2 linked regions of the Drosophila melanogaster genome follow. The protein of the gene in region 1 interacts with the protein of each later gene in a pairwise test. Each region holds a gene or a part of one and is shown in the gene's direction. Other genes may lie near its edges.

Region 1 (14,103 bases):
GTATTTATTTCAAAATAAATGCATTCACTTTGTTTTCTATTTTAACTAATGGCGAAAAATAATATAAAAGCATGGCAAATAAAACTGGCAAAATTTAAATATTGTGCTACTTAATATATTTCTGAGTTATTATCCGTTTAATAGCTCATTATTTAAACTTCTTTTCATTGCACTTTCGGCATATCACATCTGAACTTATAATGGCAAGCATAAAACTCAAACAAAAATTGTACGAAACGATACAAGTTAATGTACCCAAATATATGTATATATATACACTTAAAGCATAGGAGTTTGACTAGATTTGGTTGGGCTTTCCTTGATTGCTATCGGTGGGTTTTTCCTTAGGCCCGCTCGATCATTGGCGTCTGGACTACATCGTCGTTGGAAAAGATGACCGTACCGTCCAGAGTCTCAATGGTTTGTATAGTGGTCTTACAGTAAAAGCACACCTTGGAGTTCATCATGTGCTGCATGATGCAGTCGCTGCAGGACTGATGCTTGCATGGCGTGAAAACGGCAGTGATGGGCTTGGCGCAGCAGATCGGACACAGGGAGTCCTCTGATGGCAGTGTAATGTCGGAAAGCAGAGTCTGTTTCACTCGCAGGCTATCGATAAGCCTGCGGACATTGTCGATTTCTTCAGAGGAAACATGGGAGGGAACTGTAAATTGATTTAAAACGTTGATTTACTTATAATTATTCCATTACCTTTTCAATATACTTACAATCATTAAGGGCAAACTTCAGGATTGGCGGATCGGCCCGAATACGTTTGGAATTATTAGGCAACGGCACACGTACATCGTTTGTTAGCGGATCAATGTGCGGCCTGGAAGAGGGATCGAAATTACCGCGTGGTATATTCTTCTGCTCCAGCAGTGGCGTTCGGATTTCTCCCAGTGCAAATTCCAGCGTGGCAAATTGGAAGCTCGGATCGGTGAGAAAAGCCCGGGATACGCGCGTTACAATCTGAGGTCTCAAATCGCTCTCCATCTCTTCCTGCATTAGGGCTAGCAAAATACCCAAAGCAGCAGTCACAATAGGATAGTGGGTGACTGCATTTAGGTCCGCCGAGCACATGTCCACCACGAACTGGAAACATCCGGGTGGCACTGTAACCCGCGAAAGCACCTGGCTAATCAACTGACAGATGCGATTGAGTAGCAGATCGCTATTTGGACGAGATTCATCGGTGACGATTTCAGGCGCAGTTGTGATGACCATTTCCAGACATCGCATCAGCGAAACAGTCAATTCAAAGCACATGGAGCATATCTTAAGCTGCTTGGGCTCAAAAAGAGTGTTTTCCTGCCTCTGAGCAGTGTTTTGTATCTAAGAATAGTGGTTAAATATAGTTTATGTAATTCGTATTACTTAAACCATAATCACTCACCTCCTGCAGCAATAAAATAAATTCGGAAAAAGCCCAGTTTAGTTGGCTCAACACCGAGTTCAGAAAGGCGGTGGCGAAAGGCTCATCCTCCAACAATTTGGCGCCGATTAAACGTTGAAAATGCTTTGAGGGATTAGCGGGAGCGACATTGTGCAGCAATCCTGTATGCGTCTCGTTTCTGGAACGACTGCGACACAGTCCCTGGTGGAGGGGCAGCGAGCCACCTTGCCACACAGAGGGCTGGCGGGAATCCTTGTAGGCATATCCCTCGCCCATCCAAAAGCGCAATAGCAGCCAATTGCTCTGGCCCCAAGCTCTGTTCTCATAGGGGCGTAGCAAGGCACGAACCAGACTAGCCTGAGACCTCTTCGAAGTACGTTCCAGAGCTCGTACTCCGGACTTGTGGCAGGTGAGCGTTCCCAAAGCTTGCAGCAGTGAGTCTTTGCATGAGGCAAGCACAATGCGAGGATCTGCTGAGTGAATGCCTAGAAACTCTGCTGCAGCGTTCACGCTGCATTCCGCATCTGAGGCCTCGAATTGAGCTTTCAAATCATGGTGACTAAAGTCCATTACGGCGTCCAGCAGAATAGGCAGTGTATTAACATACACCTCAGGTACAAATGAGAACAAAGAACCCGTATTTGAAGCAGTCTGATGGATGGAAAGAATAAGATCAATAAAAGATAAAATTACAAAAAAAAATTGCGTACCGTCAAAGTTCGTAACATTCGCTCTAGTAGCCATATGAGCAGGGATCGCCTGTGATTGTTCAGGGCCACTCCTCTTAGCCAAACTTGCTTCCTTGCCAGGGCAATAGAGCGTGTCTGCAAATAGGAAGAAACATATTCTAATTGCTTATAAACTACTTAAATAAGAATAACCAATAGGCAAACTATCAACTCACAGCAAAAACATTCTGACGCTGACTGAACTTAGACCGTAGCTCGCCCATCACATGCTGGTGATTTTCGTTCATGCAGACATTGGCATGCTGCTCCAATGCCCCAAGTTTACGTTCGATATCCTCCCGGTAGAACTTCGTCTCCTTAAGTACTTCATTTAGAGCTGCGATCTCGTCTCTTACCGTGGCTATCTTTACTATGTACTTGTGGCCTGCCGAGTAGTAAAAGATGATACACAAATCAAGGAGTTCGCACAGGCTGGCCTCCATATCCGCGTTGCCCGGCGAGGAGTCGGTGCTGCTATTGGGTCGTGTATTTAGGAAATGAGTGTAGGTTGTATTATTGGCGCCCTGAGTGTGTCCCACTACGGGCACATTGTTTATGTTTTCGCCCAAAAGGTAAAGCGTAGTATCTGAAATTGTGACAAGTTGTAATTATTTTACTGTATGCTTCAGCATTTAAACAAAAGTTTTCGCATACATACCCACTTCATTGACCCGCAAGTTTTGCCTATCATCTTCATAAATTTGCTGAGTTCGAGCTGATCCCAACCTAGCATCGATGTCGCCCCGATGAACTTTTCTTAAATGTGACAAGACACCTCCAACGCGATCAAAGTGCATGTAGTCAAAGGTACCATCTATGAAATAATCGCTGTTCACCTCCACGTTCTTTGTGGGCATTTCATCTTTGAACATCGAGCGCGTCTGATCAATAAGAATGCTAGCAAATGCGAGGGCCACAGGCGCATCGAGTGGATGCTGAATGCTCGATTGCATAAAGAAAAAGGCGTGGAAGGGCTACATGGAGGTTAAGGATCTATTAAAACCGTGCAAAATCATCATTGGGCACACTTACCCTTTGCTCCATGCTGAGATCGATTACGTAACGACGCAATTTGCTCAAAAATATTGAGCGGCTTGACGGACTTTCCCTTGATCCGTCCGAGTTGATCATCAGCGTGCAGAGAAGATCCTTTTGCGCTGTATACAGTGGCTCCGTAACTTTGCGCACCTTCTCGACAACATTCAGATATTTTTCCTTGGGGCCATCGATGCCCTCCGTCCAGGCCATACTGTCAGGCAGCAGTTCCTCCATGATGTAGAACTCCAGTGGATGTATGTAGAGGAAAAATGCAAGACTAAATGAAAAAATTATTCGAATTTAACACTCAGGATTACACGAGTTTTATCTTTTATCCGTACCAGTGCTTTTTGAACAGCTTTCCTTCCAGCAGATACTTTCTGGTCTGTTCGTGCAGGCAAAGGCAATGCAGCATTCCGAGCGCCTGGCGATGCTTCTCATAGTCCAGGCCCTGTATCGTATGCGTAAAAGTACCCAGCAAAGCGTTCACCAACTTCCGCAACACAAACTTGATCTCGTCGCCTTCCATGTAGTTCCAGAAGAGAGATAACAAGCCATGGAGTACGCTGTAGGAGTTTTCCTTCTCGGACGCTAAATTTGTCATGCTCGAGATCTTTCTGAGCAGGACATCTTCGATGATATATGGATCAAATATCTCATTGGTGAACTTCTCAATCAGCAAGGTGGCAAATATGCAGTACACGGTCTTTTTAGTGGAAACGCGAGCATCTGCGCCATTCGTTGGTGCCATCCCAGATTGGGCGTTATACTTGGAAAATATGCCAGCGAGGTTGACCAAGTAGTTCATCAGCAGGTTGGCCCGTTGCAGCTTAAGGATAGGTCGAGCCATTAGCGGCTGGAAGCCCGATACCGGATACATAAAGGGACGATTGCCAAAGTTCGCCTCGATGCCCTGCGTGTAGCCCAAGGAGATGGCTGCGAAGAAGGAGATGCCCGGACCCTTTTCCAACTTGTTGAACGCCACGCCCATGGAACGGCCATTTCGATAATATTCGATCACTTCCTTATCCACGTCAATAGTCACGCCAATAACGTCGCCAATCTGCCATTTGTCGCCGTACCTAGGAAAGCAATTATATACATATAAATCCTGAATCAATGTTGAATAAATGGATATCTTACTTTTTGGTGGATATATGCCAGATCTGCTGTTTGCTGCCATCGTATCCATAGCTGGACTTGGTATCTCCCACCCCGCTGTTTTCGTTAAACTGGCAGGAGTTGGAGGCCCAACCAATCTGCATTACGCCCTTAGTGTGGAGGTGGATCTGTATATAAATGACACGTTCTTAGTACGCACGAGCAACCCACACTCCTCAATACGAGTCAATGACCGGTGGTCAACCACCGTCGAATCTACCACTCATTCCCCAATCTTTAGCTACTCCTCCCACTCCATGTAATAGCGATTACCTCATACATCCAGCGACCGCCGTACACGCAACAATTAGCCCGGACCGTGTTGAAGCTGCCCTGGGAGCGCAGGGCTAGGCGATCCGAGGATACCCGCACTGTAGTCGTATAGTCCACATCGAATATGGTAAGATCCGGGCCAATGCGGCTCTCTGTCTCCATGTACAGGCGCCGAATCTCTTCATTGCTGTCGGTCTGGATTTGTTGGAACTTGTCATCTAGCCAGGTTCGCACTATGAGCATCTGCCTAAGGGAAAGGATTGTCCATTGAAAAGTTTAACCTCAGCGGCTAAGGACACTCCTACTTGGTAACTGATAAATCGGCGAGCTTTGCGGGTCTCGGATCCGGAACCGTCGAGCAATTAGCGCCCTCCAAGTCATCGTCCAGATCCGAATACAGGTTATCGTGGTCCACCTGCTCGAATATATCCTCGTTGAATACTTTCACGAATAATTTTGATATCGACATTTTGGCTCTGTCATTTCAATGCCAGCTTTCTCCAGCCACACAAATTCGAGTCCGATTCCGAGCTCGACCGTCACAAAAAGGAATTCTTTAGCTTTAGGGATGGTAAACTCAGACACTCCTTGTGAATCTGCTTAACGGTGGCAAGTATCGGGTCACGCGACAAGCCGATGATTTTTTAACAAATTTGAATTTTGACAAAATATTATACAGTTTTCTTTCTGGATATCTGACCTGTAACAATTTGTTGCCAAGCTGTATCAAAATTCTGTTATCATAGACCGAATTTTAAAATTTAAAAACTAATGCAAGTTTCTTGAAATATAGATAGTTGTATTAAATAAGTGGACCTTGTCATTCAAATTATGAATTTGAATCAATATTATGTGTACATACATACAAATTTATTATAACGTAACTATTGTATTGACCCCGCAAAATATCGCTCACATTTGCTCCTCCCTAATACTTCCATCCTGCTCTTTGGTACAGTATGCTCCATCTCGTTCTAAAGGCGCTAACAAGCAGCTGTTCAAATTCAACATCGTTGTGCAGTACTGCTCGTCTTCAAGCGCTTCCTAACACCGAGTGAAACGAAAAGTACTTCTCGATATGTAAGGACGTGTTTTCTGTGCTCTGCTAGTTAAGCTAATTAAATTACAAGTTGGCGTTGATTCATGACAAATGAGTTACCAAAAGAACAACTCTACGCTGCTTAAACGTGTGATATTTGCGAGCAGTACAGTTACCTTTCGGTTAATTGACAATTTGCTGTCGTCAGCGACCGAGTGTTTCTGATAGTGGTGTCCGACAACTAGCTAGATCTGGCGGGAAAAGGCTTAAAAGTGAAACGCAATGAAAACAATGCTCATAATGGCGGCTGTTAAATAAATAAATTAGCAATCACACAGTTGACCTTGTGCCAATAACTTTGCGTGGAGAGTATTAACAATTAAATACGCTGAAAATAAAACAGCTAACTGGTCAGCGATGCGAAGTGAAACCGTTAAGATTATTTGTTGTTGTTGCGTGTCTTACAAAAATAGAATTCGCGAAAAGAAATAGAAGGGAAACAGAAATCATTGCCAACCATTCGAAAACAAGACCATTACAACATACGTACATATCTGGGCATAAATGAATATTACTTCTGATTATACATGGGTATATTTGTTTGTAGTCGAGGCAATTGATTTATCTGCCCGTTCTCGACCCGTTTCTTGTTCTTATTTATTTTTTTGCGCGGCAATCAACGCGAATTTCCGAATGTGTGTGTGAGTTTGTAATTTGAATTCAGTTAAAATGAACTGGAAATACGTATGTATACGTATTAATTAATAGTTATTTACAATGTTTCAGTTGCTTCAACTATTCCCGCCAAACCACCCTCGCAAAATATATAGTTTTCTTATCACTTCTCTCCATTACAAGTAATATAAGACCCACATACGTAACTACTGAGCTCTCAAAGAATCAGCATTCACAGTATGTATATTGTGTGTTTACATAATGATAGCTTTCGCGGTCTTCTCGCCTTAACACCGCCCCTATTGCGTCTTGAATCTTTTATTTATCGAAAAAAAAGGCTAAAAACCACTTTGATGACGTTAATGAAATATGAAACTATATATAACGAACAAACGACGGCAGAGGATCTCTGCTAAGCAAATGGGAAGCACAGGAAACCCAATAAAAAAAAAATACCCCCCAGAACAATGTGGACTGACTCACTATAAACAAGGCAGTAACTTGATTAAACCGCCTTTGTTTTTTCTCGACCAGGATATTTAAATAACTCAGTCATATTAGTATCTCAGCAAAGCATACAATTTGCATTAAACACCAACAGGTTAAATCTCAGATATGATACGTTTTCTTTTAATAACTCTGCAATTTCTTATGATATGATAATGGAACATCAAAGAAAATGCCCACATACATAGCTACCATCAATAGCAAAATGTAAACATATATGTATACCTATATATATTCATACGAAGCTAGGAACATGACCATACGCATAGTAGTCAATTACTGCCCATCTTTTTCTTGTTTCTCTGGTCACGTATCTGTCCATATCTATACTCTATCTATAGGAGTCCTGTTCACTTTTATTAGTGTCGTAATTTGTGGAGATAATGAAATGTACTTAAATAGAATAATATTGGTATGGTTTCAGATAAATATTTTTGATGATCACGCATAAATTTATTTTATAAATACTACTCCAATCTCACATCCAACCTTTCTAATCTGCATATAATTCCCGAGACTTATCCGCCTCTAGGTTAATTTCTAAGATAACGAACTGCGATCCAAACGAAATAAGTCACAAATATTTAGCACCATAAGACTTTCAAGATAAGCAGTATAAATATGCAGAGGTAGACCCCGTAGAGCATTTGGTATTCAGCAAAAAAAAAAAAAAAAATGGCAAAGTTTGCCGAATGTGTTTCTCTTGCCATTATCTAATCGATAGTTGAGTGTTTTTGCCTCTGACGTATTGAATGGTCGTGCGCTTTGGAGGAATATGTTTCGGCAACTGATTTGTACGGGTTGCCAACTCAGTCGAGGGCAGCGACATTGATTGACCATATCAGACGACACTTGTCGCAGTGGTCGCTTATCTTAGCTCCGACCTTCCCCGCCAGCTTCGTGCCCCACTGAAATCGAGCCCAGTTTTGACTTGGCCAAACACAGACACGAGTGATTTTCTGTTTGCCTTGTACAAATGCCGCGTAGAACACTTGTTGCCCGATTAGCCATAAACATTGTGCTGGGCTCGTGTATTTCAAACCATGTGAGCGAGATTCTCAACGGGTCTACTTCATTTCTTTGCAGTCAGTCGAGGGCAACGGACACGTACACGTTTAAAGTTTAGAGGAACAAGGAGATTTGCATGCGGCGCGAATAAAGGAGCGATAGTTCCTAACCACAGACAGCGAAGATGTCACAAAACCAATCCTACTTCTGGCAAACGACCAGACACAATGTATACCTGAAGCGCTCGGCCAAATGGCACATGGCGCTGGCCCTGATGGTGGTGCTCACATTCGGCACAATTTGTGCGGCGGAAGCTCAACCGGATAGTGCGGACAATGCGGTCATTGAATCCGGAATACAGAGCGTAAGGATGACCTAATTCCTCCTTTTTAACAGCCTATTAACCAATATGCTTTAATGCTTGCAGAACTTGGACGTGCAGGGAGATTTGAATAGGCCAACGGATCTGAGTTCTTTAGCGGAGAAACCAAAAGATGCTGCGGACCGGCCGAAAACGAAGGGCACCTTTATCGATGCGTTTACCGCATCGATCTCTGTTATCTTACTAACAGAGCTAGGGGATAAGACTTTCTTTATCGCTGCCATAATGGCCATGCGCCATCCGCGTTTGATTGTCTTTGGCGGTGCCATCGCCGCCTTGGCGCTAATGACGGTACTCTCATGCGCATTTGGCATGGCAGCGAACTTTATTCCTAAGGTAGGTCGTGAAAAAATATAATTTAGATAACTTTACAAACTAATGCAACTTTATATTACCTACAGATTTATACGTATTATATCTCAACTGCATTATTTTTAATATTTGGTTTAAAAATGCTGTACGACGGCTACAAAATGAAACCAACCGACGCTCAGGAAGAACTGGAAGAGGTGCAAACTGATCTGCGCAAGCGCGAGGATGAGGTGAGTCGCCTTCGATGGATGCATATGTATATAGTAGTGGTGCTAGATGTTGCAGTAGTTTCTATAGATCCTAACTTTGTTTCAATTAGTGACGCACTTCTGCAGCACCTCGTTGCTGCAATATTATAGTAATTAGTTATTTTTACTGCTTCTGTTAATATCTGCGCTTAATTTTTTGTTTTACTATTATAATAACCATAACGACTGGCAAAATGTAGAGCAAAAAAAAAAGAAAAACAAAACAAATTATTGATTCCACGCCAAAGCAATCACTTCATATGCCACGCTTTGGTTTTCACTCTTACCTTATATTAAAAAATTAAACACCATTTTATTTGCCTGACACGAGAGCCATGAACAATAAGAACCAAACAATTACTAATCAGACACGAACTCTAAGCTTTTCATAATTGTAATTACACCTTGATTGCATGCTAATTAAGAATCTTTGTTAGCCCCTAACAAAAATCCATGGTTACCTTAACTAAATAACCCAAGCCGATTGAAAAATGGGCGCTCCGAATAGCGTCAGTGAAACACCTGTATGGCCACATACTCTCTCAGTTATAGCTTCCGAATATCTTTGGTTTTGATTTGTCTTGAATCAAACATTCGAAATTCACATACAAACATTTACCACACATCTATGACCATGTGACTAATTGCACGATTTGCGCATATCAAATACAAGCGAGTTTCAAAAGTTTATTGATCAAAGCAAATTCGTACTAAACCAGAAAATCGTTTGAAATGGAAAAGCTTTTTGGCAAACGAGAACTCCACCAGAATATTAATCAAAATCAAAATTTCTGCCAATCGAATTTCTAGCTAATGCAAATTTTTAATTGTTTTTCCTTTATGCAACACGAAATTAAAACAATTCGATAATAACGTTGCCCCTCAAAATGTTACCGAAACAAACATAAACTATATATGTTGCACTCAACTTTGATTTGTGCCACGCTCCAAGCGCAGTTACTGCGCAAGGCCAGCCGCAAGTACGAGGACGCGGAGGGCAAGCGAAAGAATAGCAACTCGGACAAGGAGGATGCCAGCGAACAGGCGCTTATCCATGGCCGCAACTCCATTTCCACGGCGGCAGGTTCCACCACGGACATGCAGCATCGCCAGCGGAAACAGCGCAATCATCTCAATAACAATAATAGTAAGCAAAATAGCTGTGATAAAACTGGCAACGATGACGACGACCGGGATCAGCACGAATCGGAGGTGTTCCTCAAGGAGGGCGGCCGCATTGTCGAGCAGCTCAAGTTAAAGACCTTCCCCAGCAGCCCGGCCCACTCGGCGGCCTCATCGAACCAGACCGAACAAACCAACTCTATTGCCGCCTCCACCGCCACCGTAGATGTCCAGCTGGCTGGCCATCCCACCGACCCGTCCGTAGGTGGCGCCTCGGAGCCACGTGCTCCGCTGGCCGGACACGATAGCATGCACAGTCTCAATGGCAGCCTAAACGGAGAATCCGGACCGGTGAATGGCGCTCTCAAAGCACGGGTTAGGACATAGACCGTATTTGCGATTGTCCCGCTTCCGGTTCCCATTCGATTACGTTTTTCGAAATTGGAATTGATTGAATTTTTGGTTTTTGTATTAACGCTACACACTTAGATGGAGATTGTCGAATGGACTATGATCCCTAAAGTCATATCATTTAGATTAAAGAATGATTAATTAACTTCAAATCTCAAGACTTCCAAAGAGTTGTAGAGCTAAGCTAAATTTATCTGAGTGCTGTGAGAGGCTAAAAAAAGAGTAACCTATATTAATAGATTTAATCAGTTTTATTTCTAGAAATTGTAATCGGAATGAGAATCTATATAACTGACAACCGCTAACTTTCGTTGTTAGCTAATCATATATACGTTTCACTTGCTTTTTACCAAAAAAAAAAAACAAAAAACACTCATAAAACAGTGACACTACAGTCGAAAAACACAAGCATCAATTATTTTTTAACTCTAAGTCATCTGGCATTTGGTTTTGTCGCCTCGGTATTTTATTACCCATTAGTCTCGTTTAAATTACATTCGAAGCGCACACATCTCACCCGATTTTTCTCTCTGCATGTTGTTATGATGAAGTGATCGTTTCTTGATTTTTGATTTTAGTTTATATTTTTGGTTTATTAAGAAGGAAAAGCGGTGGTATCCGAGTTTTCTGGTTCAAAAGTATTTACATGTATTTTTAATTTGCTGTCTTATATCCTTTTGTTTGCGCACATTTTCATCGAATCTTTTTTGTCTGTCTGCTGTTCGCATACTGATCCTTAAAAATCCCCATCTTCCTTTACAGCTGGATCGTGATGTGAACGCGGCGCTGGTGAATGACGCCGAGAGCGGTCGTCGTCGTCCACAGAAACGGGGTGCCACCTACTTCACCATGCGCATCCTGGCCCAGGCCTTCACAATGACGTTCCTGGCCGAGTGGGGCGATCGCTCCCAACTGACCACCATTATTCTCGCCGCTAGCAAGGTGAGCACTTTGGATAAAAATAACCGGAATGATTTGGTACATGAAGCTATTATCCGTTGCAGGACGTTTACGGCGTTATCGCTGGCGGTATTATTGGCCACTGCATCTGCACCGGCCTGGCTGTGATTGGTGGTCGTCTCGTGGCTTCCAAAATCTCAGTGCGCACTGTCACCATTGTGGGTGGCATTGTGTTCATCGGATTCGCCATCTACGCTGTCGCCATACCTCCGGATGACATTTAGGCGAAGCCTTTATACTCCAATCGAGATTGCCCGCTGACGACCCCACAATATTATGAAGATTTAGTTTTAGTTACTACCTGATAAACCCCACTTTTCTTCGAGGAGCATCAGGCAAGGATCGTGTTGAACTAGTTTAAAACTAGAAATGCGTTGATGTTTTTAACGTAGCTTTCTTCTTGCCAAACATCCAAAACAAAAGTGCCTTCAGTGCTTTCCGCTTCGGCCATGACATACATTTTTAGTTCACACAATTAATTCTTTTGTTTTCCAATTGTCTAGTATCGCTTTAATTTGTTTGTTTAGTTTCGGTTTCGTGTTAAGTATTAAAGATGATTGTACATACGCGTGTAGAGCCATCGCGATGCCCACGCTCCTCTGAGTTGTATCCTTTCCTTCATAACGCAGATCCTTATTCGCATATTTGTTTACGTAGCCGTGTTTACTTAATGGAAACAACCAAAATGAAACTTTGTAGATTTGATTATTTATGCGAATTTTGTATGAAAAACTAATTAAATTGAGCAAAACAAAGATTTTAAAGTGCGCTTAATGGGCGGGATAAATCTTGTTCTTTCTTTTAAATTTAAGAACCTGTATGAGTGATGAATAAAATCATTAGGTTTCTTGTTATAGGCATAATTTATTATGGTTAAAGTTTGTTTTTAAAGTTTACATCGTGTTTTACAGTCGAAAAATAATTTGGTTAGATTACTTGCAAAGTTGCAGCACCTTAAAGCCCGCCATCTTTTACTGCTTTATTGTTTTGGGATCGCGATAGATGCCCGTAAATAGGATCGACCTGGAAGTGCGGTCGTAGATGACGAACAGGAACGGATGGTTGCACTCAAACTTGGCCGGCTCCACGGGCCTGGCCGAGCGGTAGGTGAAGAGGACTGTGGCCGCCGCCGCAGTGCTACCCTCCTCGTCCACCTTGATCTTGGCCACGTGCTTGGAGTCACCGATGGAAATCGTCTCGGAGGTCAGATCATCGAAGGTAGCGACAGACTCATCGAACATTTTGCTAACTCCCATTTTGGCAAGGATCTAAGGAATGGAGCAGGTCAAAACTAAATCAAGCTTTGGAATCAAAAAGTCTAAACTTACAGGATTAAGTTCCAGGCGCTGTTCAAACTCAAACTTGGGCAGCGAAACTTCGATTTCGCGGGGCATTGCCTGCTTCAACGAATCATCCAGACTGTCGGCATTCAACCGGGAGAGCACATCTTCGAGGGAATTACTGTTAAATGGCGGCAAGATGAGCACCATGGAGATGTCCGAGTTCTCATCCGGCGAGCTGTCCTCCTTCTCCTGAGACTCAAAGACGGTGCGATAGGGCAGCTGAAGCACGTGGGCGCGGAGCTGTTCGTCGACATTCAGTAAGAAGGTGCCCTTCTGTTGCATCATGGACACGAGAGAGTAGTTCGACGGAGACGTGTAGAAGGGCATGGGCACCGTCTTCTCCGTCTTGAACTGACTGAGCCACTGACCCTTCAGATAGGCGGCGTTGGCCAGGACCAAACGAGTGCGCGGAGTGATTTCATCGGCACTGAGCATATTGCGGATTTGATCGTGCGTCTGCTTGGCAATCCAATCGTTGATTTGCTTGCGCGACTCCTCCGTCTGGCTCTTGAAGTCGATCTGCTGCACCTCCTCGGCCAGACGATTCCTTGCGCATTCGGTCACATGCAGATCATTGGCGAAGAATATGCGATCGGCTGAGGAGAACTCGAGAGGCATTTTGCTCTGCCGCTCCTTACGGTTCATCTTCTCCAGAATATAGGCACTGCGCACCACCTCCTTCGAGTCGGCCCAATCCAGATGCAGCACCTTGGCCAACTCCTTCTCCGTGTCACCAGAGGATCCGAAATAGGCGAGGAGCAGGGCATGATACGTGCTGTACGGCGAGAAGAAGACGTTCTCATTGGGAGTGCTCTGCCGAATCACGTTCAGCATGGACACGGCAAAGTTCTGTTGGCCCTTATAGAGGTTCAGCCGCTGATCCAACAAACCCGCATCGGGCTCAACCCCACAGAGACCGGCTAAGGCGATGGCCGGCAGGACCGCCATTAGAGATATGCTGAGGATGTGCATGATGTGGAAGCCTGCTAAAAATTGGAACATGATTTAAGTTAAAATAGCAATTATTTTAACGGCTGCAAGCACATGTGATTGAAATGGGTAACCGAAAAGCACAAGACCCCTAAATATGTGACCTTGTATACCATTTTATTTTTGAGTGTGTGATTTGTGTGGAATACGTGACCGGCATTGAATCCTGGTATAATTTCTCATCTAATTTATTAGACAACTAAGCATTTAAAGCGCACTCAGGCCAGAAAAATTTATGAATCTCCCAGAAATATTGACAAAATTCCCCAAAGTGATTTCTGTGTAAAGTCACTACTAATTATGGGAGTAGTTAAATTAGAACTGCAAGTCCCAGCTAATTACGTACTTAATATTCACTTAGTTTGCCAAACTTCAAGTCATTAGGGTTTTCTAGTTACATAAACCGACTACTGCAGAATTGTTGTAAACAATCACGAAATATTTTATAGACTTAGCTTAGATGATTTGTGATTGAAACTTTTTAGAAAATATAGAACCGATTTGAGGTCG
Region 2 (11,181 bases), on another chromosome or scaffold:
TCTCCGATGGCGGCACGTAGCTCCTCCTGCTGCCGCCGACACTGTTGTTCCAGGGCTACGACATAAACTGAGCCGTCGTCCGCAGAAGAAGATTCACAAAATCAAGTTGGGGCGGTCCAATACCGAAGGTGGGGCCAGCCAAATGTTCTGGGAATCGACACAAGGATGTGTGCGAATAAAATGAATCAACTTAAGAGGTCATATTACAGATAGCGATGATGGCGTAGGGCGAAGTGTGTTAAGTTGTATGCGTATTAAAACATGAAGTCTCTTTCCATTAACAAGTGTTTCCTATCAAAAGTGTTTGTATTCCGTGCTGCCAGCTACTGTTAGGTATTCATTATCCATTGGAAAGGAGCCATCAACTTTCTAAGCCGGGATTATCGACGATAAACCTTATATCTGGGTTGGCACAACTAATTATTTTGTGATATGTTGCGTTGTTTTCGTCCTTGATGAGCATCTCCGAGTGATCGTTAATAATTCAAACTTATTTACCTGCGTTTGTGAGCAAGTGAGTCGAAACTGGGTCAAAGATAATAGCCTTGGACGCCTCGATGCTGCGTATTTGCGATGGACAAACAACTCGGAATTCTGGGCAATATTTGTGCGCCTAATGGCCGCCGGGCTGCCTTGATTAACTAGGCAAACAAAACGGCCAGCCCACGCCGAATGCGATATTTGCACGGTATTTGTTTATGGGCCCGGGAACTGGCTAATCAAACAGCCTAGGAGGTGGGCGGTAGCTGGGAGGGCCAAGGACGTTGTGGCGTCTTGCAAATGATGTTAATGCGATTTTCATGCGATAAGCTTCGCATTAGCGCAATAAGCCACAAATAATCAGGCGTCTGACAGCACCGGCGTCACACCTGGACGCGATCCGCAATCAGATTCCAGTCGCAAAGGAGCCCAGAAGAAGCCAGAAAACTTAACTCCCTGCTAGATGGCGTTAATGCGGCAGCTCCTCCCGGATTGGCCATCCACAAGCAACTGAGCAAAAGGCGAATCCTGTTTATTAACTTCCCGGACAGCTTGCTTAAACTGCCGGAGTGCTTATGCAAATGTATGTAAAGTGTTGTAGTCGCCAGCAAAGCGGAGCCAAGGCAAACCCTCCAAATGAAGTGAGAAAATAAAATTAAAACTTACACACTCAGTTTCAACGCCTTTTCTATCCCATCCCCATGGCATCCCCAAGCCCCATGCCACACCATTCAGCTGCTGTGCGGAGTTAAGCGATAAATTCCAGCCATTCAAAGTCGGAGAAGGCACAAAAAACCAGAGGTGGTGAGTCTGGTAAGGGAAAATATTTGCACAGGTAGCTTTAAAGGAGGTGGGATCTGTTGGCGCTGAAGGGATATCTTTATGGGAAATCTTAAATTACATTTATTTGATCTAATGATAAGAATAGAATGGAGCCAATGCACCCCATTCGAGCGCAGCTCCATCAAAAATTATAAGGGAGGAGTATGAAAATCTTGTGACATAAGGTTCAGCTTGCTTTAGTAAAGTTTAGTAAAATCGGAAATAAGTTGAGAACGGTTCTATATATCCATTCCGAGGTAAAACTATATGTTTAGCTTGCTTTAATGGAAATTTAATGAAATCGGAAATGCTTAAAAAACAGATCTATAGATCCTATATACTAGGTGGAACTGCCCAGTTACTGGCGCATCTCTTTCGAAGGCAAATACGATGGACGTCGAGGTGTGCTGGCCAAAAGGTAAACAAAATGTAAATTGGTTTCGGTTTTCCAATTCCGTTTTTTCTGTGCTATGTGCTGGCCAATGCCGATGGAAGTGGCAGATGGTGCGCCGTTCAATGCACCCGATACGGGACGCTTTCCCCAGTCGAAGAACCCATTAGGGCTCAAAGCCGAACGCCATTGAACCTGCCACTCCAAGGTGGCTCCAGCACACGGGTGTGAGGTTTGCTGGGGCTTTGGCCTATTAATGGCGTTCCGCTGCCGGCCGTTGATTAATCCAATTATGGGGCGATTAACGTTCCACTTGCACATCAAGTATCCGCCACGTGGTGCCGTCTGACAGCAAATAATAAAAACCTTAAGTGCAGCAAGATGGAGGCGCTAGCAAAGTTATGTCCAAATCGAACTCCAGTGCTTCCGCCACCCGGAAACTCGGCCGAAAAGCTGTCCCACATGAAAATGCCAGTCGGCCAAGTGGCACGCATCATGCAACATGCGGGTGCAGACCGGGGCACTTTCAGTGTGGAATTTAATCAGAAAACAATTGCATAAAATTATGCTCAGCAAGGCGAGAAATTAGTTTTTACTCGCACCAAGCGGGCTGCAGTCGCAGTCCCAGGATGTTGGTTGGCAGATGACATGGCCAAGTGGACGGACACACGGCGAAGTGCTTGCTCCACTCCAAGGACCTCCTGCTTCCCCTTGTGTTTGCCCCGGCACTTTTGTTGTCCGACACGATGTCTTGATGTTCAAGAGACTTAATTATTAAAGCAGTTTCGGGCGACCGGCCACCCTTCTCCGATTTGGGCAGCTCCAGCTGGATCCTTTGGAGCTAGCTGCCTGTCGAATTGAATGCGTAATTATGAGCCATGAACCACTTCTGGCTGAGCAACAGCTGCCAAAGCGACTGACTAGGAGAACGATGGCGACGGGGACAATTGGCAGGGACGGGTTTGTTGGCTGAAAGTTAATTTTAAGCACACATTTCACTGAGCTCATTAAGCACACAGTCTGCCCGCTCCATACCCCAGTCCGCCCTTCCGCCCAAAATTGCGCTCCGTAAATCGCGCGGATAATCAAGTTTTTGGTTGAATGCAAATGACAGAGACTCCATCGCGTCTATTAACTTTTGATTTGCGCGTATTTGCCGGATGGCGGAGGGTATTGACAGGAAATCTCCTCGCCACTAATTCAGTATTTGTATGGGGTTTTCTGTGGAAACTAAGTTATTCAGCTAAATTCTGCTGACAAGCTGGAATCAGTGATTGGTTATTGCTTGAGCGTCTTTAAGGGCTTAACAATATAAAAGTACAGATCGATACCCTGCCTATCAGCACCGAATTAATTAGCTAAGAACACAATATATATATATATATATAAATATGTATATATATATATCAAATAAGTGCAGTGGATGTCCAATCATCTGATTCTCAAGAACATTAATCAATGCGTTTACATGAAAATCCCCGACAGGCAAACATCAATATTCGCACTGAACAGCTTGAGTTGCGCCCAAATGTGTGCTACACGTTGGTCGACTGGTGCACCGCCATGGTGGTTAGGGAATGTGGGGTGAATCTATCAGGAACCTGCGGAATATGCGAGTGCCTTATTAGCCAGTCAAAACATGAAGGCAGTGGCGCTGGCGTTCCTGATTGCACGTGCGCTGGCGTTACCTCATTTATCAGCTAATCAAATTACATGGCCATAATACGCAAACATTTGCATGAAGGGAGCCCAGGAACACAGGGCAGCTTTAATAGGCAATTTGCGTTAAACGCTGATTGAATAACCATTAATGCAACTAAAGAGCCAGTGTGCCACACATGCGATAATAATGACATCAGCAGGTGGGTGGGTAAGTGCAATCAGGTCGTAAACACGTTCCGACGGCACCAGTGACTGACTTTTGAAGCGACTGGCTGAGGATGGTGAGCCAAAGTCCTGGACAAGGACTTCGACAACAACGACTAGCTGACGACGAGTCGATCAATGTACAACAGCATTTTCTGCTAATGGGCCACAGGCAGGGTGGCAGGAAGCGCCATTAGACCAGGTGCCACATGCGTTGATGATGAAAAGAAAATGCATTAGGACCGGCCATGATGAGCCCGCACTTGGCCATGAAGGCCTTCAAAGCCAGCCGTGCCCACCAGCCGAGTTTATTAAGATCGCATTTATCATAATTACCGCCGGGTCGTTGTGTTGTGTCTGGTGGAGCAGGATTCAACGCCATGTGATGACATATTCAGCAGGCAAAGCGGCCGTTAAATTCTTGGAATTTCATTCCGCATTGGCAAGCCCGAAAAAATGTCTATGGTGGTCCTGTCAACATGGGGGAGGCTCATAAAAAATGCGACAGGCAGACCCCATGAAAAACCAAAAAAAAAAAAAAACCCTGCAACACAGGGAAAGTAGTCTTCCACTTTTATTACGTCAGTTCTATTTAGTGCTATACCGTTATTGTTAATTATGTCTAATTATATTAGTAGAAGTAATTCATCTTTGCACTTATCCTATGCTACACCCGTTTGTGTATAATGAAATACCTATCTAGGAATACCAGACTACGATCCACCTTAACTATTTTTCTTTCTGTGCATTAACAGCTGGGGGAAAAAGCCAAGAATTTATATGCGCTGGGGCAGCCTGTGGAGCTGGAACCGAAACTGGGAATGATTCATGCGGAAATAAAGGCACTCGAGAGTGCCGTAAATATTGTGGTGGCGACCACAACAACAGCGGCTCTGGGAAAGGTGGAAAACAAAAGGAAAGCTTTGCATTTTCGCACCTTTTCAGGAGCGAACACGACTGAATCGCCGTTGATTCATTAGCTGAATGTGACAAGCCGTCAGTGAATGTCCAAGTGTCCAAGTGACCAAAAGTCCGGGTGTTCACGCACTCGCTCCGTAAATTCTGTCCGTTGTTTCGTGTCCGCTGCTGGTGTGCATTATTTAATTGACATGTTGATTGTTTCGCATTGCGATTCCATTTTATGTGCACTTTCAGGCGAGGGTGTGAGGCAGTTCCGCCCGGGGCGCGGTGCGGGGTTGTCCGCTGTTCGCCCGACGGCCGAGCGGACGGACAAGTGCCTGTTGAAGAGCTGGTCAACTGCGACGACTCACCAAAATAACGCTCAACAGTTTGTTGTGGAGCACGTAGAATAGGAGAGCGAGCAGCAAATGTTGCTAAACATTCGAGTGAATAGAGTCAAAACAAATTGTTATTTCAAGTAGACTAGGCAAGCAATATTATTCGTAATACAACATATCAGATTCGATTAACTTTTCATCTTTAAAGCCCAATACACAATCTATATTTTTTTTTTTTTTATATTTATTTATTTAGAAGCGATGAATCCATACAATGCAGTAACAGTAACATAACAGCGCAATTAACATATAAAAGATAAAACCAAACCTCTCACTAATCATGTGAGGACTTAAGACAATCTATACTAATAAGCAATAAGCAAGTAAGTAAAACAAATAAATCAAACAAGAACATAAATTTATATGTTAAATGCTATATCATTATAGCCATCTTTATACAAATTGTATCTCTTTGCTGATTATCGTATATAAGTGTAGGCAGTAAATGAATAAGAATAATATTTAAATTAAATTAATATTAAGTTTAAAATCGTAAAAGAATAGTAGAAATCCATTCATATCACAAAATAATGGGATTCAAATTATAATAAATATTATAACAAAAGTAGTATAATTTCAAACACTATAAGCAAAGAAACTGTATTTAATTAGAACTACTTTGAAATTACGTTTTTTCGTGTGCCAAATTTTATTTGGATTTTGACCACACCGATTTGGATGTAAGCCCACTGTGCCGAAGATTTGTCAAACTTGTTGCTAAAAAACGCGCCAAAATATGTGAGTGACGGAAAGGGACGGCGGGAAGGCGGAACAAGGCCAAAAGTACCGCACCGCAGCCGTCAACACTGCAGTCATCGGCAATGAGTAACTTCCAACAACCCACCACGACCCCCAATCTCCGCCGGGAAACCCACCTGCGAGGCGCAGGACAGGAGCGTGGTGAAGAGCGCCGCTCGGAAGTCGGAAAATGGAAGGCGGCCGAGCAGTTGCGACGCGACTACCAAATGAATCGGACGCGATAGCGCTTCAGCGGAGGTCGAGAACTGAAATGTTTGCCCAAGAACTGTATATACCAAGTGCTTGAAAGCCGTTAGCAAGTGGTTCATTTAAATATTCGTTTGAAGTCGGTTCGATTTCAGGTATTCGCTGGATTTCGGTATGTCGCGTGGGTTCGAAACTAAAAGTTCATTTTCCGTGCCAAAAAGTGTTTGCCAACAAGAAGGACTTTAAAATATCGAATTCTGCTGCGGGATCTCTGTTACTCTTGCATCTTCTGATCCTTTTCTCCGTTCAGAGGATGCGTGAGTATTCGATTCATGATGTTTCTTCGCCACATGACCAAGCTAAATGGCTAAGTTTTCCGTTTGGCAACGGCTGCAGTGGGCAGTTAAATCACATCTATTGTGGTTCAAAGTTTTGCTTTCACTCGGTTGCTTAATTAAAACAAAGTTTGAAACCCTAAAGTGGAAATTACATGGAACATCTGTTTCCAGGGCGATTTCAAAGCTTGTTCAATTCAATTCCCTAACCGCCACTCCGGACACTAATTGCATTTGCTGGCAGGATGGACAACTCGTTCGAAAGTGGCCGCTTATCGAGTCGTCCACTCGGAATATCGCCAATATCAGTCTTATCGCCCCCGGGACTTTTGTCGCCATTTATGTACGTGGAGCCAGCCAGCGAGCGAACGACACGTCAGAAAACGTGGCATACATTCGGGCGCCTTCGCGGGCTGGCCACGATGGCGAATACTTAATTATTCATATGCGAGCTGATGGTCCTTCGCGATGTCTTTCCTTTTGAGCCGTCACTCGAACACTTGTTCCGCCTGCAGTTCCATTTCGCTGACGAAAGCCACTGCACTTCTGATGGGGTGGTATAAATTATGTTTTTTCCCATTGACGCAGAACAAAATACGCATTCGTTTGCGGTACAGATACAGATAGTGCAGCGCATGGGTAAACATGGAGTTCGGTAACGAATTCGCGGTTAGATCGTGCCTTCGCATGCCATACGATCTGGATTTGGGCATACTGGGAAATTAGAATGCCCATTGACAGCGCATTAAGTATACGCCGTGTGTGTGGAGTAATCTATTGTTATCTGGAAATCTATTGTTAGATTTGTGCGCCAACAGTTTGTTGGTGCTCCGCCCTCACCGCTCTCCTGCACCACAACACCCCCTCGCCGGCCGAGCAGGCATCAAAGCTTATTCATAACATTTGCTTTTGTTGGCGACACAGATACCCACAAGCACACACAAGCACACACACACTGACGCAGTGGGGCCTTCTGGGCAGCTATCAGCAGTTGGGAAAACCCTTTTTGGCAAGTCCAACAATAGCAATTCACATTAGTTATGTGGCTGAAAAAATCGGAAAGAGGGAAACTTTTACATCTGCTGCTGGCATTTTATATAAATTATATTAGAGTCCGACATCCCAAGGCTAGCTTACACTTACGACTGCTGTATAGTGAATTTAGACTCACATTCGCCCAATTTAACTTTGCAGCTGCTCGGTATCGAAATCCTCGTCGCCAGCCAAACGGGAGCTCAAACTGAAATCCATTTCCAAACTTTCGCCTAATCAACGAGCTACGTCCACTTACCCCTGGCTCCAACTCGAAAGGAGCTCGCTCCAACGCTCCCAAAAGCGGATTTCGAGTGCCTCGCTGGGCCGAGCCACCTGGCATGTCGTATTCAAAGGGAATCGCAGATTGACGGCCACATCGCGGATTGAGGTGACTGCAAACTGGGTGCGAGCGCCGCCATTACTCGGTATTTTGATTTCGCTTTCCTGGGCCGCAACGGGCAATTAATTTGCACCACTTTGGAGCCGCTCCGCCTCGATTTATGTGCTCTGCTCAAAGTTGGGGCAACTATTTGGTTTGGTGTTTGTGGAATGTGCTGTTCATAACTTGTATCATAACTTGTGTCAAACGGCGAAACTAATCGAGCGAGGGAGATTTAAATAAAAATTCAACATGGCGATGGAATGGATAACTGCAATGGACAAACGGTAAGTGATTTTTTAATGAGCTGCACAATTAATGAGCAGCGATTTTGGGGAACTTTTCTTTAAATTCTAAGTTTTTAGCTCCAAAAGTTTCCTTAGCTGAAACGGAATGCTTTCTCTTAAATTTAAGGCATTTCCCAGCTGAGTGCACAAGTTTCTTTCCTCTGTTTTCCCGGAGCAGACACGTACTCACACATCGACGTACGTGTAAGTTGAATGAAAAGCTCGACGTGGAGTACAAACAAAACGAGAACGAGAAGCGAAACATTTTAAAATGTTGCCGTCATGCTCGACATTCATTTGTCAAGAACCAACATCGGGGTGCCCCATCCTCCTCCATCCTTGATGGCTGGCAAATGGCCAATCCATCCACTTTGTGGACACGGCCTGCCACGAATTATCCGCTTTATTAAATCTCGATATCAATTCTCCGTAACTCAATGAGCCGCCTTCTGCACAGCAATTATTTCATCATTCCTGATTTGGACACCGAACAAAGGAAAATAAAAACAGGACTTTAATCATGACATTCATATCTTTCTTGTGAATTGAAATGCAAAATAAATGTAATTGTAGTTCGCTATAAATAAACCAACCCATTTAATGATACTACTCTTAAAATACAATTTATATTATGATAAAGCATTAAAGTAATTTACCATTCATTTCATGAGCTATGCCTGAAAAGTGTTTTCTGTCGTGCAAAAATAATAATTAAACCGCTGTAAAAGTATAAAAATACTATAATTTAATTGAAAATATATATATTTCTGCTGAAAGCTCCGCATTTCAGAGGTTTTAATGCACATACATTTTTTACGTAAATATGTGCTTTGCAATTGGATGGAGTTTAGTCTTGTGCAAACATTATTTTAGTGGAATAAAACAGAGGCACGGGACTATTGTTTTTTTTTTTTAGTTGATGTCAGACTTTATACTTTCCATTTAAGAGAGCGGTTTCATTTTATCTGGACACCACAGTATTTATCTTTTCACAGCCAACATAATAACATTACCCTTATCTAAATTAATGAAAAAGCTCATATGTGAGATGGAGTATCTCTCCTGATGACATGCTATTTCTAAAGCATTTACTATTGCAACAGTCAACAGAATAGTCAGCATTCTAAAGCATTTACTATTGCATCAATCAACAGAATAGTCAGCATTTAGCGTGTAAAATATTTATATACAATTACGGAATAACCAAATTTATTTTAGTGTGTGCGCAGTACTTAAGCTTAAGTTGAACTTGATTCGAGCTAATCAAACATTGACCAGAGATCAAAATTGTTTTTCAAAGTGTCTAAATCGATTTGCCCAACCGTAAATGGCCGGGAATCGAGCACACATTCTTCCCAGCAACCACTTGATGCAATTTGTTGGATTTCAGCTGGGGCATCGCTGGACGAGTGCCACCATTACCATTACCATTATTAGCCCCGCCTGTCCCCACCGACTGCTCAGTTGTGCGGCACACTCTATTATTGCAGAGTGGCCTTATATTTCATTGGTGTTATCCGAATGGGGCGTGCCTCCGCCTCATACCGGCCCGCCCCTAACCGCCGCGCACACACACCATCAATCAGAGGACAATCTCTTCAAATTTCACGCTCTGTCAACGCTTAAACGCTTCTGCCGCACTCGCACTAAAGCATGAGGGGTCAGGGGTCAGCGGGCACTCATGTGACTGTGCGCGGCAGCGGGAAAAAAGAAAGGTCAAGTGGCAAGGGCTTAAAGCAAACTGTTTGCCTTGTGCCTGGGCAAACATTTGCAGACCGCTGCCTTTTGTTTGCCCCGCCCAAAGAGAAAGGGCCTAGTAGCGCAAGGGTGCCAGGATGCCAGGGTGCAGTATGCAGATCCAGATTTCTTTCACAGCTCTTCGGCTGCTCCTTCTTATGGACCTAATACAAATGGCCTCGTACTAAAGTAGGGAGCGAAGACAAAATAAACGATTTAATTTGGACAGAATTAATGGCACAGCCAAGAAGGGCACGTCATGCTGACTGGTAATTCGGCTTATCAAGAGCGATCTGGGCTTAAGCGCACCTGGAGATAAAGGACGAGGGAGCACTCGGTGCATGCCATCGGAGAATCCTTGGAAGGAGGCAAGGTAATCGCAGAACGTAAGGCGTGAAGTGGCAAAGCCAGCAGACAGCAATTGATATTGATGGCTTCCCCTTCCCGGCGGAGGAACAATCGTCTTACTTACAAGTGCCGCCGCACATTTATCATACGCCACGTGTGCCAAAGCAGCTTTAATGTGTGCGAGGAGGCCACCCTTCCCCGCAGCTTTAAGGCTGACGAATCGCCGGCACGCCAATTACAAAATTCCGAAACTAAACTTTCGGGCGTGTGCCTAAAAACCGCAAAAACCATTATAATAAACAACGAGCTGGCTGCCTAGGATGTGTCCCAACGCGCTTCCGGCTCTTTGGATCACTCCCTTCGTCCTTCGCCTTTCGCCCACCAACAGCCACCTGGCTGTTTGGTTAACGACAAACCCAGAAACGGTTAGTGGCCCCCCTTCTCGGCACTCGGTTCCCGAAATTGCCGCTTCTACTGGCGAATGAATTATGCATGAGCCCGGCAAGACAGTTCACCTTCAGGAGCCGGATGAAAGTTGTTCGCAGGCTGCGCCAAAAAAGTAGACGCCTCGCTGCAAAAGTAGCCCTCGATGCAGATGATGCCCGGCCAGGGGCAAGCTTGGGATCTATTCCTGACTGCAAGCTGCCTTTGTCTGCCCAGGTCAGCCCTTCCTGCGGACGCACCCGCTCCGTCTGAGTTTTATGGAATTTTTAATTAGGCGAAAGTTGGGTGGGGTCTCCAGTGTGGGCGGCATTGGGGGATTTATGGTGGGCGGGAGCTCGCCTGAAAATTGTTTAAAACTTTTGGTAACATGCCGCATGGCAGCAAGGCGCAATTTGTTGTCTGTTAGACATGTAAAAACATTATTTATAGCGCGATTTGTATTGTTTTCCTAGGGGGAAAAACTTTATTTTTTTTTTAAAGCAAGGTGATTTAATTTTTATTATTTAAAATTAACTTACTTGCACTTCCTGAATTTGAGAACTCCTTATTAGATCTGACAGCTAACTTTTTCTCAAATGCAATTAGTTGACGCTTCACTCTCATTGCTTCGCCATTTCCCTGCCCTTCTTCTCATTATTCTGGGCGGACTTCCGTTTCCTGCAGATTCTTGCCCGGAAACTCTTATACTTATTTATTCATTTTTCAATTGACTTGCACACAGACAGGCAAAAAATATAATTTGCATACTTAATGCGCGCACAAACCGAGCACAAATGACACTGGAATTTTTAATTTGAGTTCATTGTTGAACTAA

Evidence for each region.
Region 2: the proteins of CG42542 (region 1) and Epac interact in a two-hybrid assay, tested with the Drosophila melanogaster proteins (one large-scale study listed by BioGRID).

Annotation. Positions count from the first base shown.
Region 1 is NT_033777.3:15,190,962-15,205,064, forward strand, and holds CG42542 (uncharacterized protein), read left to right. Parts: upstream 1-5,636; 5' UTR 5,637-5,676; intron 5,677-5,980; exon of another isoform or gene 5,981-6,336; intron 6,337-7,903; 5' UTR 7,904-8,009; coding exon 8,010-8,189; intron 8,190-8,252; coding exon 8,253-8,543; intron 8,544-8,608; coding exon 8,609-8,749; intron 8,750-9,602; exon of another isoform or gene 9,603-9,682; coding exon of another isoform or gene 9,683-9,724; coding exon 9,725-10,264; intron 10,265-11,062; coding exon 11,063-11,242; intron 11,243-11,304; coding exon 11,305-11,484; 3' UTR 11,485-12,016; downstream 12,017-14,103. Other genes in the region: Kpc1 (Kip1 ubiquitination-promoting complex subunit 1), read right to left, coding at 345-664, 729-1,335, 1,397-2,047, 2,107-2,220, 2,301-2,710, 2,783-3,098, 3,157-3,439, 3,504-4,244 and 3 more; Spn88Ea (serpin 88Ea), read right to left, coding at 12,232-12,528, 12,589-13,575.
Region 2 is NT_033778.4:6,793,563-6,804,743, reverse strand, and holds the start of Epac (exchange protein directly activated by cAMP), read left to right. Parts: upstream 1-5,802; 5' UTR 5,803-5,974; intron 5,975-7,331; 5' UTR 7,332-7,803; coding exon 7,804-7,838; intron 7,839-11,181.